Linked DNA regions of Arabidopsis thaliana. The protein of the gene in region 2 interacts with the protein of the main gene of each other region in a pairwise test. Each region holds a gene or a part of one and is shown on either strand. Other genes may lie near its edges. The genes, in order: RECA3, ATB' DELTA, AT1G76600 and AT1G21010.

Region 1 (5,899 bases), 6.4 Mb from region 2:
TTTCTTAAAAATGTTGTGAGATTAGCTTTAACTGAAATAACCGTTTTTTTTGGAGATATGAACAGATTTTGTGGTCTATTTGGGAGATGTTGTGACGGCTAACAACATAGCAATCCAAAACGCAAGCTTGTTTTGGGACAAAGCAATCTCTCCTACAAGAGACAGAGGCATTCCATGGGCTACTCTCTTTGGTAACCATGACGATGCTTCTTTTGTTTGGCCTTTGGATTGGTTGTCTTCCTCCGGTATTCCTCCCCTTCGTTGCCCTGCAGCATCAGATGATGATGGATGCACGTTCAGAGGAACTACGCGAGTGGAACTGATTCAGGAAGAAATAAAGTCATCCAATGCACTCTCATACTCCATGATTAGTCCTAAGGAGCTATGGCCAAGCGTATCTAACTATGTCCTTCTTGTGGAATCATCGGATCATTCGAAACCACCCGTGGCATTGCTATATTTTCTTGATTCGGGCGGTGGTTCATACCCGGAGGTTATCTCAAATGCTCAAGTGGAATGGTTTAAAACCAAGTCTAATACTCTTAATCCCTATTTAAGGTATGAACCAAAACATTAAAGCTTTTTTGGTGGGAAAAACTCGATCATTCGCTAAGTCGATATCGAAAGATGTATATTTCGGGCAGGATCCCGGAGTTGATATTTTGGCACATACCTAGTAAAGCATACAAGAAAGTAGCTCCAAGGTTATGGATAACAAAACCTTGCGTTGGATCAATCAACAAAGAGAAAGTTGTTGCTCAAGAAGCTGAAAATGGGATGATGAGAGTTCTTGAGAACAGATCCTCCGTTAAGGTACTAATTATTAAACACGAAATTGCTTAACACTTAGATACTGGTTTGATATAACTTTAATGAACTATATTTTTGTGTAAGTAGGCAGTGTTTGTAGGACACAACCATGGACTAGACTGGTGCTGTCCGTACAAAGATAAACTCTGGCTTTGCTTTGCGAGACACACAGGTTATGGTGGATATGGAAATTGGCCAAGGGGATCAAGGATTTTGGAGATTTCTGAAATGCCCTTTCGTATTAAGACCTGGATTAGGATGGAAGATGGATCTGTCCACAGTGAAGTTAACCTAACATATGATTAGTCTATTTATCACATATGTCAAACTTTGTAGAAGTAATAGTGCCTATAGTTGTTGGTAGGTTTGGTCACTGTAAACTTGTTAAGTGACAAGAAAAACTGCTTTCCATAAGCCAATAAATGAACTGATGATTGGTTCAAGACAAAAGGAAAGAATGCTTGATAAAACGGTTCAAACCCATTAAGGAAACCGGAATCTCTGCAGTATACATGATGGAGAATCTCTAACAAGAACAATGACTATGATGATATCATCTAATGACAACCAGCTTTTGCACATCTTCTCTGATCCTCCTTTTAGTTAGCATTCCCTAACTGCTTCTGTCCCTTCCACGTTGTTTAATAGGGACGTCAGGGTTGATGAAAAGCTCAATTGGTTTTTGGCTTTATCGAAACATACACATTTGTTTGGAGAACTCGAAATACATTCCCTCTGTCACATCTTGAAGAGCTGGTTCCTCAGGATTGCAACGACAGTATCGAGAGCCTCTTTATTTTCCACCAGATACTTCTCAGCTGCGTCTTTCCCTTCAATGACCTCGCCTTCAATGAAATAGCTAGTTCCTTCTCTTAAGATAACTCCATGCTCACAAGCCAATTCTAATACCTCTCGCTCCACGTAGAAACCATGACCAAAGTGAATCCCCAATTCAGATTTCTTCTTTCCGGGCGCCAGTTTATTCTTCACCACTTGGACGCAGACATTGAGACCACTTATCTGAGGAAACAAAGCAATCAAATGATAATAAAGATGTTACTGCCCTTCGCAGAAATTATGCATTATTTTAGAGATTAAGGCAAATCAAGCTTACAGTAACACGTACAATGGTAACAATGTGCCTAACTATACCTTATTGGCAGTCTTTATTAGCCCGGTTCTTATCATTTTGAGACGTATAGCTGCATGAAACGGTAATGCGTTTCCTCCACAAGTCACTTCTTCGGCGTGCGGGAAATGCATGTTAGATTTCACATGTGATCTGACCTGGATCAGGTAAATAAGCAGAGAGATATTATCTTTGGTAGGTGGGTCAATACGATCCAACTAAGTGAGCAAAAGAAAGTAAACCGTGATATTTCCTTTACCTGATTAAGAAAAACGATCAGTGTCTGAGAATAGCCAACTGAGTAATGGATTTTTCTGAGCGCCTGTGTCATTATTCTTGATTGTGTGTCTCTGTATCTTTCTCCTACAGGAGCATCAAGTTCACATTGAGGGGCAAGAGCAGCAACCTGTAGATTCCACTTTTAATATTAACAGATGCAGAAAGAATATATGAACATATTGAGATGAAAGAATGAGAACTCACACTGTCTACCACAATTACGTCTACTGACCCACTCTTGGTCAGCACATCAACAATATTTAGCATCTTTTCAGCAGAACTAGGTCGTGATATCAGAAGCTCTTCTGTGTTCACACCTATTGATTCTGCTAGAGAAGGATCCATGGCATTCTCTGCATCAAGATAAGCGCAATAACCTGGCACAAACAAGTCTTTTAGATAAATAAAAAGCTAATGGAGTGAAGAACAAAAGCAAGTCAGAATCAAACTGTAACTTCACAAAATCGAATCTTACTTATCGCACTAGAAACAAGAAAGGAAAAAGTAGAAGATATGTGTCCCCAACTTAGGATGGATTCTAGTAACAAGTCCCAAGGTTTCTGTTCAAACAAATGTATTGAGAATGGGATTCAAGAACAGTACCTCCAAGCTTTTGAGCTTCCTTGATGATATGCAGAGCTAGAGTTGTCTTTCCAGATGCTTCTTTTCCGTAAACCTCAACCATTCTTCCCTACACAAAAACCAACAAAGTTCTCTTGTAAACACACATTTAGAGACCTCATTAATTGCAATACCTTTAGCTTGGCTAGTCCTATCTGAGACTCTAAATTAACAACAACCTTTGGCAATCCTCCAACTCCAAGAGCTAGATCAAGGTTGAGGGAACCCGTGGATATCACAGAAACTCTCCTTTTTCTGTAAAACCGCTGCAATGACAACTTAGAGTCTTTATCAAAATCACCTGAAAGCTGTGACAATGCTAAATGTAGAGCAGTGTCTTTCTCCGCTACTTTTCTATCATCTGGAACTTCATCAAGTTCACAATCTGAAGCTTCAACTGACCAAACGAAACACACTCATAAAGACAGGATACAGAGTATGGAAATCAAAAGACAAAGGAAATTAGTGATTACCTAAAGACGAAAGATAACGATTTTCATAGCCAGAGCAAGCCAAAACGCTTCTTCTTCCATTCAGCTACAAAGCAAGATAAGAGTAAACACAAGAGACATTTGTTTAGTCAGGAGCTTGGGCAAATCATCAATGCTACTCTAAAGGAGATAACTTTATTTTGGTTGGAGTGTTGTCCTAATTTCTTCATCTGAAAAATAAAATCTTTCTTTCTTATACTCAAGCTAAGAATTGTTGAGAAACATTAGAGACGAAGAGAACCTGAGATAAGTAAGAGAAGAAACGGAATCTCTGAATCGGACTGGCCCATGAGAGTCGACCCATGCCCCGTTCTTCTTCAAGCGGCTCCTCCTTCGCTGTTCAGTTTCAATTCCACAGTTGTGTCTTCTCCTTTTCTACTAACGATCTCCAGTTTCCGCCATGGTCATTGTCCTTAAGAGGTAAGACCTGAACCAGAAGTGGATACATAAAAATCGAAAACCGTATTAAACCGATCGGTTCATGGCTAATGGAATCTAATTTAACGGTTTGATATGAGGACCGGAAAAGAGGTAACAATTTAAGGGAGGTGTAACTTTAGTCTTTTTTTTTTTTTTTTTTTTTTTTTTTTTGTGTGTAACTTTAGTCTTATCCCGAACATTTTGCTCAAATAAGATTTTATTTTTCTATATAATAATAAATCTGAGAAGATAAATCCCTAAATTAAGATTGTTCATGCGTGGAGCATAACCTAAAGGTCTAAGAATGTGGAGTGCAAATTCAATAATGAAATTGTTGGTTCTCTTGCTTTTGGTGGACGCTTCATTAATATTGAATCGTATCCTAAGCATGAAAACATATCCAACACATAATTCCGAGGTTTTCCAAAGCAGACGCTTCATTACGTTTGACTTACGTACACTAACTGGTGATAACCAGCGAAGCGGTGTGGATCCTGCTTGCATACCAAAATCAAAATGTGATGATAGAGTGATGGAAATAGGTAATACTCCAGATTATCACAGTAGTAAGTTCATTGATTTGTTGGCACATCTTTAAACTTGTAAGCTTTTTATAATTACTTTATTTTGTAGGTATATGGAGGAGACCGCGTACTCTTTACAGACCTAAAAAGTTCGACCACGAGATTCATGACGAAGAAGAATTATGAAGTTGTTGGTGCTATTTTCTTAAATTTTTTGGCGATTGGTTTTGGTGTTAATTATCATCATTTTAATGTATTAGTTTGTTTTTATTTGCGGAATATCATATGATTAATTAGATGGCCCGAAACGTCTGGTACGTAAGAGTAAGAAGATATGAAAGCTAGGTGGAGTCTTGTGCTATTGACAAGTTCTCGACCCTTGTAAAGTTGTGCTCCTCCTTCATAATGCCGTAGAGACTAACACACAAACTGCTATTTGGGAGATAAAAACGAAAAGAGGAAACAACAAGGCTAAGCGGTAATGTCCAATAGGATCCATTCAACTTCATTAATGTGAGATAATAATATTTTTTTAATTAAAAACTGTTACATTATTTAGTCGTATCCCGAATATTGTGTTCAATCTTACGAGGAAAACGTCGTTAACCCTAGTCCAAAGCGTTTACGAAAAATAAATGGGAGCTTCTTCTTCGCTTTATAAAAAGTACTAAATAAAGACTGAAAAGATATAGAAATCCCTAAATATTGATTGTTCCTGCGTCTCCGAGCATAATGTAGGTGTTTCTAACAATGTGGAGTGTATATGCATGCAACGGCGAAATTGCACTTCTCCTTGCTTTTTTGATGGATGCTTCACTGGGTCGACATTACGTTTTAAATGTATCGAAAGCCTAGCTAGTTACATAATCACACTCTTTGCAGTAATAAACCCAAAGTTTTTCCGACATATCTTCTTCACAAACATCACATATGAACTTTGCACCGGTGTGTTGTAGAGAAGAGTGAGTGGATGTTCGTCATCTTCCCGCTCCACAGTCTCAGGGGCCTTTGTGGACTTAAAAAAATAAATAAGTGAAATTCCAAAGGGAGATAATTAAAAATCGATTTGGTATGAGAAAAATCTACCGGTATGGTATGAGAGAACCAAAATCGAGCGGTCGTTAATAATTAGAACGAAAACAGAACAAAGAGAGAACGAAAACAGAACAAAGATTGCGAAGAGAAATGATGATGATCAGCTCCTCCTCCATTACATCATCCCTTTCTCTTCTGTCTTCATCTCCTGAGAAATTGCCCCTCATAAACCCTATCCAGAGATGCCCAATTACTTACTCCGGCTTCAGAACGGCGAGCGTGAACAGAGCTATCCGGCGGCAGCCGCAGAGTCCAGCCGTGTCCGCCACTGAATCTAGGGTTTCTCTCGTCCTTGCTCTCGCCTCTCAAGCTTCCTCTGTCTCTCAACGCCGTAAATGTTCCGTCTTTTCTCTTGCCGGATTTTGTTTTGGTTTTTGTATCTGCTGAATTTTCATTGTCAATTTAATTGTAGTTTTGGCTGATTTGGCGATGGAGACTGCGAAATATGTGTTTCCCAAGAGATTTGATAGCTCTACTAATCTTGAAGAAGCTTTCATGTCTGGTTAGTTTTTAGCTTAATCTTCTTTAGC
Region 2 (6,347 bases):
GCTGTTGTTGTAATCTGGGAAAGTTTGGGATTTTGTATCGATCTCAGGTTTGTGATTTGATTCTGTTTCTAAAATTTATTAGGCTGATCTAGGATTTGAGTTTTTTTTTATATGGACTTTGCTTTTTTTCTCAGATGGTGAAAAGACGAAGAAGTGTGATTGTTTTGGGGATATGATTAAAGAACCTGAATTGTTCTGGTGTTGAGAATAAGAAACTATGTGGAAACAGATTCTAAGTAAGCTTCCCAACAAAAAGTCTTCAAAGCACGAACATCGTGGACGTGAACACGGTGGCCATTCTTCTTCATCTTCTCATACTTCAGGTGCCTCTACTTCCAAAAGCACTGATAATGGCGCCGCGAAATCGCATGCTAAGAACGCTTCTCCAGCCGGCAAATCCGCTGCTTCTGACTCGGGTTTTAAAGATGGGAATCTAAAGAGTAGTGGGAACAACAACAACAACAACAACAACGGTGTCTTTACTCCTTATGAAGCATTGCCGAGTTTTAAAGATGTTCCAAACACGGAAAAGCAAAACTTGTTCATTAAAAAGTTGAACTTGTGCCGTGTAGTGTTTGATTTCACGGATCCTACAAAGAACATCAAGGAAAAAGATATTAAGAGGCAGACATTGCTGGAGCTTGTGGATTATGTGAATTCTCCTAATGGAAAGTTTAGCGAAGTCGGTATCCAAGAAGTCGTTCGGATGGTCTCTGCTAACATATTTAGAACGCTAAATCCTCAACCACGGGAAAATAAAGTTATCGATGCCTTAGACCTGGAGGAGGAAGAACCTTCCATGGATCTTGCGTGGCCTCACTTGCAGCTTGTGTATGAGCTTTTCTTGAGGTTTGTTGCTTCGCCTGAAACTGACACCAAGCTGGCTAAGAGATATATAGATCAATCTTTTGTCTTGCGGTTACTGGATTTATTTGATTCCGAGGATCCTAGAGAAAGAGATTGTCTGAAAACCATTCTCCATCGGATCTATGGTAAATTTATGGTACACCGACCTTTCATCAGGAAATCCATTAACAACATCTTCTATAGGTTTGTTTTCGAAACAGAGAAACATAATGGGATTGCTGAGTTTCTAGAAATCTTGGGAAGTATCATCAATGGATTCGCTCTTCCCTTGAAAGACGAGCACAAAGTGTTTCTTGTTCGAGTTTTGATACCTCTCCACAAACCAAAATGCTTGCAAATGTATCATCAACAATTGTCTTATTGTATCACACAGTTTGTGGAAAAGGATTGCAAACTTGCTGATACGGTTATAAGAGGATTGTTGAAATATTGGCCCGTGACAAACAGTTCCAAAGAAGTCATGTTTCTGAACGAGTTGGAGGAAGTACTCGAAGCAACTCAGCCACCAGAATTTCAACGGTGCATGGTACCACTGTTTCGCCAAATAGCTCGATGTTTGAACAGTCTGCATTTTCAGGTACCTGTCATTCTCCATTCTTTCTGAAATAATAGCACCTCACATTTGTTTTTAAACTGGCGAATTTCCCCGTGCTTTGACATTTCCTGAAAAATGCTCTGTTGCTGTTAGTGTTGGGTTTGACATTTGCAGGCCATATCGTTTCGACATACTTTAACTGCATTAGTGTTTCACCTGTTTATGTTAGCCTATTAGATTGTTATATAAAAAGATCAAATGAAAGAGTTGGGTTTGTGGTAATGAAAGTATCTACGTATAGGACTGTTGTATTGTGTTCTGGATAATATCTGATGCAGTTTCTTAGCTAAATAAGGCTTATGGTTACATACTTTAATTGTGTTAGTGTTTCGCCAGTATATCTGTGTTACCTTACCAGCTTATGAGAAGTCGTTATAGCCTACCAGTTATATCAAACGAGCAAATGGAAGAGTTGATTTTGCGGTATGGAAAGTATCAATGTTTAGGACTGTTATATTCAGCTCTAGGTGTTACTCAAGGCAATTTCTAAGCTAAATTGATATAGTAAGGCTATTGTTAAGTAGAAAGTTACAAAAGAAGAAAAAGTATTGCGTTGAAGGGTATCTGTTTTGGCTAAACAGTGACTGCATACGATCTTTCACGGGAAAAGATCAGTCTAGTAGGTTCAGGATCTTTGTTTCAGTCTATTCATGCTCTGTCTGGTTTTCGCAGGTTGCAGAGAGAGCTTTATTCTTATGGAACAACAATCACATTGAGAATCTGATAATGCAAAACCGTAAAGTCATTCTTCCAATTATATTCCCAGCGTTGGAGAGAAACGCACAGAAACATTGGAACCAAGCTGTTCATAGCTTGACACTAAACGTGCGAAAGATATTTCATGACCTTGACCCTGAGTTATTTAAAGAATGCCTCGCAAAGTTCAAGGAAGATGAATCAAAAGCAGCTGAAACCGAAGCAAAACGTGAAGCCACTTGGAAACGTTTGGAAGAACTCGGAGTGCGAAAGGCTTCATAAAGTTAGAGTTGTAGAGAAGAAAGAGAGAGAAAGAGAGCTTCTGTATCTTCTATTGACATGTTGTTCTTCAGATACATACTTGAGAAGAGAAAAGTTTCATATTGGTCTCTTGGTTTGAAGGAAAAAGGAAACTCAAAGATGTAAGATTGTTCCTGTTTTGATTTCCATTATTTTTATTTCTTGTTTCCTCTTAAATCTTCCTGCTTGTTAAAATGGGTTATTTTTGCTACATTGTATGATCATCACTTGTTCCACTTTCTTGAGACTTGTCTTATTCATTCATCTTCTGCTTTCATGATACCTGCAAATATTGCACTTATAGGATTTGGCCTTTTGTATTTTCAGTTGTATCAGAAAAAAAATCGTATCTTTATAAGCAAAAAAACACCTTTTAAAAAAAGTTTTTTTAAGTTTTCAACAGAAACTCAAAGAGAGAAGACCAAATTGTTGGTTTGAGTATTTTGGGTTTGTGGATTTGGTTACGAACTCCATAAGTCTAGGAGGAACTCTGAAAAGATCTTCATGGAGAGATCGGTTTAGTGGTTGGATTTGAATCTTTTAATGGTTATGACTTCAACTAAAAAAACACTGTCGAGAGATGTTGTTTCTTGTCTTGGTCAGTGAAAATTTTCTCTGGTCTTAGGGTCTTCTCTCAGTCACCATCCTCTCTTTCTATCTCTCTCTCTCTTTACTCTCTAATCTTTATCCATTCTCTCTCTTCTTCTCTATGCCAACGAAGCAATAGCTATGAAAAGCTAAACCCTTTCCTTCTTCTTCTTCTTCTTCTTCTTCTTCGATTGTTTAGATTACTTGGGTTTGACCCAAGTTTGCTTCTTTCTATGATTCATCAATCTAGATCTTGCTATCTGGGTCCAGAAACGATTCACGCGCTTCATTCATGATATAAAGTTACTACCTTTTTTTTATTTTACCTTCTGGGTCATGGTTTTGTCTGCTTTTCGTCTTTTGCTTTTGTCTGGATGATTCATAATCTCTCGAGATCTATTATGTTCACAAGAGTTGTTCTTATGCGTGGTGAGATGATCTTAGGAGTGTTTCACTATCTTTCTTCAATTCGGGTTTTTAGTTTCTGAGATCTGTTTTTGAAGAATCTGATCTGAGTTTGAGGAAGTTTGACTAAATAGATCGAAGAAGATGTTTAAGCAGATACTTGGGAAGCTTCCTAAGAAAACTTCTGCTAAGTTTTGGGATAATGGTGAATCCCAAACTCTAGATAACAACAACAATCAAGGAGGAGGTGATGAAGTTTTAAGCCAGAGAACGTCATCAAATGGAGATACTAGTTTGGATTGTGTTTCTTCTTTTGATGTATTGCCAAGGTTGAGAGATGTTTCCATCTCTGAGAAGCAAGAACTGTTTCTTAAGAAGCTTAGACTATGTTGTCTAGTGTTTGATTTTGTAGCTGAGCCTCAACAGAACTTCAAGGAGAAAGAGATCAAAAGGCAAACACTTCTTGAAGTTGTGGATTATGTTATCTCTTCAGGGAATGGCAAGTTCCCTGAATCAGTTATTCAAGAAGCTACCAAGATGATTTCGGCGAATCTCTTTAGTAATCCTCATCGACAATGGAAGAACAAAACTCCTGAGGCATTGGATTTGGAAGAAGAAGAAGGATCTTTGAATCCTTCTTGGCCTCACTTGCAGATTGTTTATGAGTTCCTTTTGAGAATCGTTGCATCTCCCAACACAGACCCCAAGATATCCAAGAAATACATCGATCATACATTCGTTCTCAAGCTATTGGATTTGTTTGATTCTGAAGATCCGAGGGAAAGAGAGTATCTGAAAACGATACTTCACCGCATCTACGGGAGGTTTATGGTTCATCGCCCGTTCATCAGGAAAACTATGAACAACATCTTGTATGATTTTATATTCGAGACAGGGAAACACTCGGGAATCGCCGAGTTTCTTGAAGTTTTAGGATCCATCATCAATGGATTCGCTTTACCACTCAAGGAAGAACACAAGCTCTTTCTTACTCGTGTCTTGATTCCTCTGCACAAGCTGAAATGCTTACCAAATTACCATCAACAGCTTTCTTACTGCGTTATACAGTTTGTTGAGAAAGATTGTAAGCTCGCGGATACCGTTATTAGAGGGATGTTGAAGTACTGGCCTGTTACTAATAGCGCTAAAGAAATCATGTTCTTGAATGAATTGGAGGAGATACTAGAAGCAACTCAATTAACAGAGTTTGAACGGTGTATGGTTCCGCTCTCTCGCCAAATTGCTCAGTGCTTGAGCAGTTCTCACTTTCAGGTACAGTTAAGAGTTTATTAGGTACATTTACCTGATTCTTAGATTCTTGAATTGTTCATAAAATTCAACTGCTTCTGTGTTTTTAGGTAGCGGAACGGGCTTTATACTTATGGAACAACGATCATGTCACTAATTTAGTGAGACAGAACAGTAGAATCATTTTACCTATAGTGTTTCCCGCTTTGGAGAAAAACGGTAGCAGCCATTGGAATCAGGCTGTGAAGAACTTGACAGAGAATGTTCTCAAGGTTTTGTCCGATACAAATCCTGATTTATTCGAAGAATGTTTGCACAAGTTCCAAGAAGATCAGCAAAAAGCAGAAGATACTAAAAAGAAGAATGGAGAAACCTGGAGACAGCTAGAGGAGATTGTTGCTTCAATGGCGAAGTAAGAGTTTTTTCTGCACTTTACGTGATTCAACAAGAAATCGGTTTATTGTTTTGTTTTGTTTCCTTTACGCCTGAAAGGTATATACATTTACTTTGCTTTGCTTGCTTCATTTAAGTATCTGGTTTCGACTTTAAGACTAGTTTAATTCAGTTAAACAGTGTGAGATTTTACCTTTTTCAGTTCTTGATTTGTCTGTATACTTGGTTCATGTAAACATCTTGTTATGAAAACACGAATTTTCTATTGTCTGAAGTCACTTAGTTTATCAGTGAAAGAGATTGCTCTAATATAAAAATTGTTTCTGGAATAATGATTTCGTCCTTTAGTATACAGAGGATCTGTTGGCATTTTCCTGCAAGTATCTTTGGATTTTGTCTGTTAAAAGGTTCTGTTACAACAGGTTTATTCTTCTAACCAAGAAACCGAAGAAAAGCTCTCTGCGATGACTCTTAGTCGGTTTTTCGTCAGGAGGTTTCACCAGATGAGAGTTGATGTTGTCTCCAGAGATATCATCAAACCATCATCTCCAACTCCAAACCACTTAAAGAAGTTTAAACTCTCTCTTTTAGAACAGCTCGGTCCAACGATCTTTGGTCCTATGGTTTTCTTCTATTCAGCTAACAACAGCATCAAACCAACTGAGCAATTGCAGATGCTGAAGAAGTCGTTATCCGAAACTTTAACTCATTTCTACCCTCTCGCTGGACGGCTCAAAGGCAACATAAGTATCGATTGTAATGACTCAGGCGCTGATTTCCTCGAAGCACGAGTCAATTCACCGCTTTCGAATCTCCTACTAGAGCCTTCTTCTGACAGCTTGCAACAACTGATTCCTACATCTGTTGATTCCATAGAGACACGAACCAGACTGCTTCTTGCTCAAGCGAGTTTCTTTGAATGTGGAAGCATGTCTATAGGAGTTTGTATCTCTCATAAACTCGCTGACGCAACTTCTATCGGTTTATTCATGAAGAGCTGGGCTGCAATCTCGTCCCGAGGGTCGATCAAAACCATTGGAGCTCCGGTTTTCGACACGGTTAAGATCTTCCCACCTGGAAACTTCTCTGAGACTTCCCCTGCACCAGTGGTTGAGCCAGAGATCATGATGAATCAGACTCTTTCGAAGAGATTCATATTCGATTCTTCGAGTATTCAAGCTCTGCAAGCGAAAGCTTCAAGCTTTGAAGTGAATCAACCAACAAGAGTCGAAGCTGTTTCAGCTCTTATATGGAA
Region 3 (4,714 bases), on a different chromosome or scaffold from region 2:
GTGTTTTAACGGAATTCTATGAAACTACTCGTAATTAAATGACAAATTACGCGTTCAGCTGCCATTACCGAGATTCTAAAGATATCTTCAAGTAAATGACAAAAAAATAGTTAATGTATTTACCATCAACTTGACAAATCAGACTAATCAGTGAAGACCTTTTTTTATGAACATTTTATGATAATATCACCAGAATTCTCATCAGTAATCAATAAAATTAGATTCTAACCGTTACAAAATTTACAATAGTCCAACAAAATAAGTATTGCCTAAACCTCAGGAAAATCACTCGGATGATTGGATTATAGATTCGAGTATTTTTGTAATGGGGTCGGGGGATATTAAGCATTAAATACTAATGTAGTTAGTTAGTTCATATTAGTATTAACGGCTGAACACGTGAACGCTTCTTTCTTTTTGCATGGCCTGCGAAACCTTTTTCGACTTTACTCGGTTCGATGGTAATAACTAAATGCGTACGGTGTTCCCTAGCATTCAGCTTCGGACTTTATTAACATAATTCAATTGGATATTATCCTGTATATAGTTTAAGTTTTTGAATAGTTTATCAATTCCCATTATATTATAGTGATGGAAATATAATACTAAGATGCAATGATAAAGTTACTTAATCAATTAAAATGTATTCTTTTTTTAGCGAATTATTGAGAAGCATATTTTAAATACAAATGTCAAAAGTACATAATTAATCTAATCCAAACACATGTTTATAGTTGCACATTAAGTAATGTTATGACAGCGAAGTGACAGAAAACCTATGATTACATAATCATTTATGTTAAATAGACTTACTAAAATAATCATCGGCTTTATTAACTAAATACACTACTCCGCAATGGGGAAAGATTTTTCTTTTTTGAAAAAGGGGTTTCAGCAATGGGGAAACTTTTGAAGTTTAATACATAAAGTTCATTTTCCACTAAAAAGTCCTTTCTATTTCATATATACATATACAAGGCAGCATGAGTAAGGTGATATTTTTTAATAAGAACTACATTGGTAAAGTAGAATAGTAGATTGCAGTTGAGTTGTTTCCTGTGAATTGGATAATTAATATTAGAATCATAAGTATATATACGTCCTAACTACTTACATGCATGATACTGTCTAATTGGTATTCGAATTTTAAATTTGTCTCATATATATATTTTATAATAAGGTGAAATCTATTGAACAAAAAATGTTACCGGTAAGTGAAAATAAGATAAAGGCTTATGGAAATATCTTCCAGATTTACAAGGAAAAAAATAAGTGAAATTAAAGCATTTTTACAGTTTTACAAGTTGTAATGTTCATCAATCATCACTATGACACTATCCATGAAATGTGAAAGATGTTCCATAAGATCGATTGTTATATAAATTCGACTCAACTCAAAAACAGAACCTAACTTTACTCAAAAATACTAGTATTTTGTATATTTAAATATCATTACGACTGTACTAGGAAACACACAACCTTGAAAATAGCATTTCGTTATACATAAAAGTCATTGATTTGATCATTTGCGTTTCTTTGTACCACTAGCTTTATCAAATAGTATTTGCATGATGATAGTCAAATACAAGTTGCTGTGGTCTTTCACATTTTTAAAAAGGAGAGAAAAAAGGTAGCTGCGGTTTCCTTATTCCCCACGCTTATTTATTTATTGTCTTTGTTTGGTCTCCTTATCGCTAATTTTGAGTCACGTGTTACGGCTGAGAGCTTCGAAGCCCACGTCATTGCTGACATATCTTCATTCGTACGGATCATGTAATCTGTTAAATTTCCCAAAACGTTTGCTACCTAAACCCGTGAATTATTTGGAAGTCAAACTTCCTCTTTAATTTCGGAAATATTTACAAATTCAGGTCAATCTAATGTATTTCATACAACGAGTGTAAATGTATTATTTTGACAAATTTGCGTATCTTCTAGTTGGGTTGACAATTTAATATACTTTTAGGTCAATTTTGCATAGTAGAGATATGGATAAGAAAGTCTATCTATATACACACGCACATCTACGTATTATAACAACTGTACATCACATTCACACTATATACAGAACATTCATCTAAAACAACCGTATTTATTGTATCCACACGTTTTACTATGGGTGTGTGGTCCTTTTAATTATCAGTTACTATAAATTATAAACAAAATTCCACTAGCTAATCAATATGAAATTACATTTGAGTTTAGAATAGTCAATAGGAAACGATTTAACCAAAATAAAATAACTAATTCAATTTAAATCACTGTTTTTTTTTGTATCCATCAACAATCATATGAACCATTTGACTACATTCTCTGGTCAATTTGAATTGGTATTTACTACTACTAATAGATACTCTTATACCAATTTAGATAAATAAACTTAATCCTGAGTACGGACTAAAGGACAATTTGTACAGTGAGTTAAAAATAGAAAATTTACCTAACAATACTTTTTAAATCAGTCAAACATTTTTTGACTTTAATAAGAAATAATATTTAATATTGGCCTTGTAAAACAAGACTACTCTCACAACAGTCAACACACACAGCTAAGCATACGCGTCAGCTTCCGGTTTAAACAAAAAAAAACACAAACCGTAATTTGGTTTCCGTTTCTTCCTCTTGTAACGACCGGTTAAATAAAATGCTGACGTCACCATCTTCTTCTATATATATCCTACCTGGAACCAACTCTGTATATACGCGTCCTCCTCTCTCTTCTTCCTCTTGCTATCAATAAATCTCTCTTTCTCTCTACAAACAAAATAACGAGAACTTCAAAAATCAAATGGGTCTTTGTGTATCTGTTAATCGAAACGAGTACGTTTCTTCGTCGACGACGGCTAAAATCGTAACAATTAACGGCGATCTCCGTGAATACGATGTACCGGTGTTAGCATCTCAGGTTCTGGAATCTGAATCGACGTCTTCTTCTTCATCATCATCATCTTCTTCTTATTTTCTATGTAATTCCGATTCTCTCTACTACGACGATTTTATCCCAGCGATTGAATCTGATGAGATTCTTCAAGCGAATCAGATCTATTTCGTCCTTCCCATCTCTAAACGACAATACCGTCTCTCTGCCTCGGATATGGCGGCTCTCGCTGTAAAAGCCAGCGTCGCGATTGAGAAAGCAGCGGGGAAGAAAAATCGCCGTCGTAGAAGCGGAAGAATCTCTCCGGTTGTGACGTTGAATCAGGCTAACGATAATCGGATCGCCGCCGTGAACAACAGAATTGGAGGCGAAGCAACGAATATGATGATGCAAAAAGGAAAGTTACCGAATAGAACGACGCCGTTTAAAGATACAAACGGTTATTCTCGGTCTGGTTCGGTTAGGAAATTGAAAAGATATACGTCTGGTCGAGCTAAATTGGCGGTTCGATCGTTTAGACTGAGACTCTCTACTATATACGAAGGCTCTTCGTTTAATTAGAGCGATTATAAAACTAAGATTACATTCTTTTTGTTTTTGTTGTTATCGTTACGAAAAATGTTTGTGTAATGCTGTTTCAATATGATCTGTAAATTACAGCTTTCACTTTGCTTGTATATTTTCCCATTTTGTTATGTCATGTGTACTTATATTTTATAAGATAGCTTCAAAAATCAAATTTCAGTCACACTGTTGCGTAGTTTCATGAGATTCTATCATACACGTACTTTCTTATGATATATTATTAAATTTTGTTGAAACGATAAGATGAAATTGATCCTTGTAAGTCATGAGTCACCAGTTTGATCGATCCGATGATTGAGTTTATAACATTATTTTTATGTGGATCAGTCTAAGCTCCACTTTAGGAAACATGGTTTTAGACAAATGAAAGTAACAAATAAAAAATATTTCATGAGGAGTCAAGGAGATAATCCTTGTAAATTTCCACAAATGGAACTAAATTGTTAGGGAAAGCTAAAAATAAAAATGACTTGGAGAAAAAGTTTCGAATTTCCATTGTAAAGAGTTTATTTAATGGGTGTGGTGGGATCGGAAAGGAGACCAGTGGAAGCTTTGGCTTCACGGCCAATGGGATTTAACGTTCTAAGTCTATTTTAATCAATTTAAGCTTCAGTCTTTAGACTTTTGATGTAAGATATTTGCAATGTATTAAACTATTAACAAAAGCTTTTTTATAAAAAAATCTCGATATCATTATCCACATCCTGGTTAGTTCATTGTTCAATCAATTAGTTACAATGATACTATTCAGTGCTACTAAAAGAAGTTTGAGTCCAAATGTTAGAATTTAGATCAAAACATGACGTACAAATATAATCTAAAACATATAAATTGTTTGACAAAAATATTTAGTTGTACGTGTTCAAACCAACACATGATACATGTTGATATTTAGTTATTCACTTGTTCTATACACTTTTGTTAGCATAAAGAATAAAATCATTTAATTTAGTTCTTTTTTTGTCAAAAGAATTTAATTTAGATATTACAAATCTTAAAAATTAAAATCAAAACTAATCCACTAATCTTTGATCATACATTGTCCCTCCTCATAAATTAAAGTAAATTAAACCCAAAAAAAAAACGAGATACAAATTCCTGAAAATATTTGGCTCGCACTAGCAAAGTAATCTGCAACGAAAATTCATCTTCTTTTCCTTTGAGGCGCATTGATCTCAATCTCATGACACATCCAAAATAGGGCTATTGAAAAGTCTCGTGGTATATTTTGTCATATTAGTTTTTTTTTTT
Region 4 (4,455 bases), on a different chromosome or scaffold from region 2:
TAGCTCGGGATACTAAATAAAGTCAACGTGTGAACATGTGAAGCCGGTTTGTCATATGCATGTCATGCGACCCGTTCGAGTTTACTCGGCCCGGTGGAAAGAGAACATAATTTTTCTTCTTCTTTAATTTTCAGAAAAAAAAAATATATTTCTTCCGTATTATATTGTTTACTAGTTTAGATTATAATTTTTAGTAATTTCTTAATTTGCTCTAATATAATTCCCCTATTTCCTTTCATTTAGTGAGTTGTTTCTAAAGGTCCAACCCAAATTAATAAATTAAACTGCCGCCAAAAAGTTGAAAAGCTAGTAAGTTAATAAACAATAACAGTAGTACATTATATAGTTTATGCTCTCTGATTGTATTAACACTATTTAGGCTGTTAATGATAATCAAAACCGCACCCAAAACCGTACTGCAACAGTGTTGTAACAATATTAAAATCTCTACATATTCATATGTATCTATGTATTTTTGTTACTATTTGAACCGAACCGCACTTCTCCTGCATCGCAAAATACAATTACCATTCGGAGCCTTAGTTGATAAACTGCATGAAACTAGTAAAATTATGATATTTCTTCAATAATAAAATCTGCATGGGTAAATTAAAATACCGTTTAGTTCAATTGTACGTTATAGTCAAATACAAGTTGCGATATTTAGAGTTTAACAGGCCACTTGTTATGTGTTTTGACTACTGGGAGCCGCGTGGTGCGTGCCACGTCGTTGCTGATTTCGCTTTCACATTGCTGATCTTTTTCTCTCTTTATTTCCGATGTTTTGCTAACATACACGCTTGATTACAATTTCATCAAACAAACTCCCTAATGATTTTTAAAATTATTTCATTTTACCTTTTAGTATCCAAATACCATAAATTTGGAATGTGATGTTGTTGATGTCTCCTTCCTTTGCTTTGTAGCTGAGGCCCGTGCCTTCATGCGTTCCAAGCCTTACAAAGTACATATATATGTTTACAAAGACTCTATCATACAATTGGGGTGGTAGTGACTAGTGAGCAACAATTTATGTCATATGGATTGAGAGAAATCCTCGTTTGCACCGCAATTATGTAATGAACGATCAAATTTGGATTTGGATATTTTGCATATATTTATAGTTTATCGGCTTCAAACTTTATTAAAATAAGAAAACATAAAGCATGCTATAAAATAAATGAAGAGATGCACTAAATCACAATTACATGCTTCCATAACTCTAGCATCTTTATTTGTATAGTTTTCTTTTTAATGTGTTATAAACTGTGAGAAATGGATCTTCAGATTTTTTAAAATAACTATCCATATATCAAATATGGATTTAATCTGGAGCACAAGAGAATATTGTGAAATTCGAAACTAATCACGTTTGATAGATTATAGTCTTTGTATATGGATTTAATCTGGAGCACAAGAGAATATTGTGAAATTCGAAACTAATCACGTTTGATAGACTATAGTCTTTTTCGATAAAGGTCATTAATTTTGATAGATTACAGTGAGTTATAGTGAAATTGACATGCATGATCACATAGTACTTAACGTATAAATATGGTTCTTTAGAGATATATCCAATTAAATTTGAATGATACAGAGTAACCATAATTAAGAGCAATATTCATTCAAAGAAAATAAAATATCGATACGCATACACACTCATACATGTACATGACCACAACTTATATAATTAATTTTTCTAAATATATTTAGAATCTGTATAAGCGTGTGAATATAATTGCCTTGATTGAAAACTTTCTTTTGATATATGAAAAAAATCCTTCGAAATAGAAAGTTAAAAATCAGAAAGATCTTTAGAATATGTAAATACAATGAAAGATTAAAAAATACATAACACTATATAGTAACAAATAACCCAACAAGATAAATAAATAATTCGGAGTAATTAGGTCATGAAAACGAAATGTAATTAGAAGGTTTAACTAAGGAAACATTATATATGTCCTTTTACTATGCGTGACAAAAATCTACTAATGGACAGACAACAAACAAAAACTACATGTTAACAACCGGTTCAAAACATTAAACCGTAACCGGTTATCTAATTTCAATTTAATCACCCGGTTTTATCACCCGTCTTCTATATATAACCCCACCATGACCGACTCTCTCGACGCGTCGTATCAACATTCGTGAATCTTCTCCACTCCCTCTCTCTCTCTCTCTAGATTTCAAATTTGTTATCTCAATCAAAAATGGGAATCTGTGTGTCGTTTCGTCGGGAAGATTCAAATTCTTCACCGACGGTGAAGATCGTGACGGTTAACGGCGATCTCCGTGAATACAATGTTCCGGTGATAGCATCTCAAGTTTTGGAAGCTGAATCAGCGGCAGCTTATTCATCTTCGTCTTCCTCTAGACCTTCTTCATATTTCATCTGCGATTCAGATTCTCTCTACTACGACGATTTCATACCGGCGATCAAATCGGAAGAGCCGCTTCAGGCGGACCAGATCTACTTCGTTCTCCCGATTTCTAAACGTCAGAGTCGTTTAACGGCGTCGGATATGGCGGCTCTCGCCGTTAAAGCAAGCGTCGCGATACAAAACTCTGTTAAGAAAGAATCTCGTCGGCGTAAGAAGGTGAGAATCTCTCCGGTTATGATGTTGACGGGGTCTAACGATTCCGTTAACGGAAATGGAAGTGAAACGACAGTTAAAAAGGGACGGCCGTTTGTGAGTAAAACTGCGCCGGTTAAAGCTTCGAGTGGGATAAACCGGTCCGGTTCGGTTCGTAATTTGAGAAGATACACTTCTAAACGAGCTAAGCTGGCGGTTCGATCTTTCAGGCTAAAACTTTCAACCATCTACGAAGGCTCCGTCGTTTAGATCGTTATTTTTTTTTTCTTAAGTTGCTTTCAATTTTGAGGAACAAATAAAATTAGCAAAATGAAAATGAAACAATATAATTAGAAGAAGCATAATTATTATTTTTTTGTTTTGTTATAAACTGATGAAATAGTTTTCATGAAGAAAACATTGTATATTTTTTCTTTGATTGTGTATTTGGGTCACGTACCATAGACTAGTGATCGTATATGTTTACCAACAAACTTATATATGAATGATGATGTTTCTCAATTTAACCATCCTAAGTTTCCAACCATATATACACTACAAGATTTGATGATATAAATCGTGAATGTGCTTATCTTTTTTGTTGTCTTTGATTATATAATGTAAAAAAGTTACGTGAAAAAGTATAGTTCGATGCTAAATTCATGAAACTGAACAACTATTTGATTTGAACGGTTCAATGTTAAAACTTAAGGTGGAAAATGTAATAAACAAAAATCTTGGCTTCACTTCACAACCAAGGAATTTTCACTAAAACAAAAATCTTGGCTTCAGTCTAATTATAATAATCTGGATATTATATTCTATTATAAATATAAAGATTCTCTTAAGGTTTTATATTATTGATTATAATATTTTTAAGAACCCAAAAAAAAAACCTTTTAAACTTTTTGTTACTTATACTTATTATTGTCGAAAAAGCTAGAAAATCAATGATACTTGCTTTCGTTGATTCAATTTGATGTGTCGATGATGTGTTGATTACCAATGATCAAATCTTTATAAGGCATGTTGTTGATTATATAAAAATAATAATGTCAATTAGATGTTGAATAAGTCATCTTAGTTTTGCTTAGTCCTCGATCTTTTACTAGCATAGAATTATTTATGGCATTACAAATGTAGTTTCAGCATACTGTATGTTGAGTTGTGCACTTGTGCTTTCGTGTTTAATGAATATAGTGATTAAATAGTATGTGACCATGCAATATAAACTAAAAGCAATAAATATCTGATGTAATCAAGAGAATTCTATAGATAAAGTATATTCAACTGAGAGAGGTGGTGTGAATAGTATATAGATTCCACTAGGCACTATGAAACCACAGTTTTATAAAAAAAGAGGCCGTATTGGTATCATATGATGATATGAACATTGTGGGTGCTTATTTGGTAATTGGTGTGAACGTTAAGATATCAATGTTCTTTCTTTTCGCTTCTAAAATAGCAAATCCTCCGACATGACTTGCAAATTTCCGACAATGACAGGTTATATGTAGGCGAGGTGTACTTAACTATATCAATTCTTTTATAACAATGTTAATACATATACTAAAATAAAAATATACAACTAAATTAATTTCTCAGTAATTATTACCATATAAAATTAGGAAGTAATTGATTAAAAGGAAATAAATACGGTATGACTCTTTTTTTCTCCCACTAATTAGTATGATAAGAATTTTGTTATATATTAGTATATACTATTTTCTAGGATTACTGAATCTAATTTGTGTATAAACTGTTCTTGTTTACCATAAAGGTTTTATTGCATTTTCCGTTCTAGTCATGTTGTTAGTACATTTGACAATGAAAAAAAGATACTAATGTGTACAGAAGAGAGATAGGTCTATGTTGC

What was found.
Region 1: the proteins of ATB' DELTA (region 2) and RECA3 interact in a two-hybrid assay, tested with the Arabidopsis thaliana proteins (one large-scale study listed by BioGRID).
Region 3: the proteins of ATB' DELTA (region 2) and AT1G76600 interact in a two-hybrid assay, tested with the Arabidopsis thaliana proteins (one large-scale study listed by BioGRID).
Region 4: the proteins of ATB' DELTA (region 2) and AT1G21010 interact in a two-hybrid assay, tested with the Arabidopsis thaliana proteins (one large-scale study listed by BioGRID).

Annotation. Positions count from the first base shown.
Region 1 is NC_003074.8:3,132,719-3,138,617, reverse strand, and holds RECA3 (RECA homolog 3), read right to left. Parts: upstream 3,746-5,899; 5' UTR 3,635-3,745; coding exon 3,572-3,634; intron 3,377-3,571; coding exon 3,313-3,376; intron 3,237-3,312; coding exon 3,019-3,236; intron 2,910-3,018; coding exon 2,822-2,909; intron 2,596-2,821; coding exon 2,423-2,595; intron 2,346-2,422; coding exon 2,199-2,345; intron 2,098-2,198; coding exon 1,963-2,097; intron 1,831-1,962; coding exon 1,549-1,830; 3' UTR 1,201-1,548; downstream 1-1,200. Other genes in the region: PAP16 (purple acid phosphatase 16), read left to right, coding at 66-558, 645-813, 898-1,116; AT3G10130 (SOUL heme-binding family protein), read left to right, coding at 5,460-5,700, 5,782-5,871.
Region 2 is NC_003074.8:9,514,146-9,520,492, forward strand, and holds ATB' DELTA (serine/threonine protein phosphatase 2A 55 kDa regulatory subunit B prime delta), read left to right. Parts: upstream 1-2,807; 5' UTR 2,808-3,595; coding exon 3,596-4,723; intron 4,724-4,809; coding exon 4,810-5,115; 3' UTR 5,116-5,418; downstream 5,419-6,347. Other genes in the region: AT3G26020 (Protein phosphatase 2A regulatory B subunit family protein), read left to right, coding at 218-1,153, 1,241-1,444, 1,577-1,609, 1,821-1,931, 2,135-2,440; AT3G26040 (HXXXD-type acyl-transferase family protein), read left to right, coding at 5,596-6,347. UniProt on the Arabidopsis thaliana protein: The B regulatory subunit may modulate substrate selectivity and catalytic activity, and may also direct the localization of the catalytic enzyme to a particular subcellular compartment.
Region 3 is NC_003070.9:28,744,187-28,748,900, forward strand, and holds AT1G76600 (poly polymerase), read left to right. Parts: upstream 1-2,646; 5' UTR 2,647-2,788; coding exon 2,789-3,439; 3' UTR 3,440-3,662; downstream 3,663-4,714.
Region 4 is NC_003070.9:7,344,023-7,348,477, forward strand, and holds AT1G21010 (poly polymerase), read left to right. Parts: upstream 1-2,133; 5' UTR 2,134-2,216; coding exon 2,217-2,849; 3' UTR 2,850-3,261; downstream 3,262-4,455.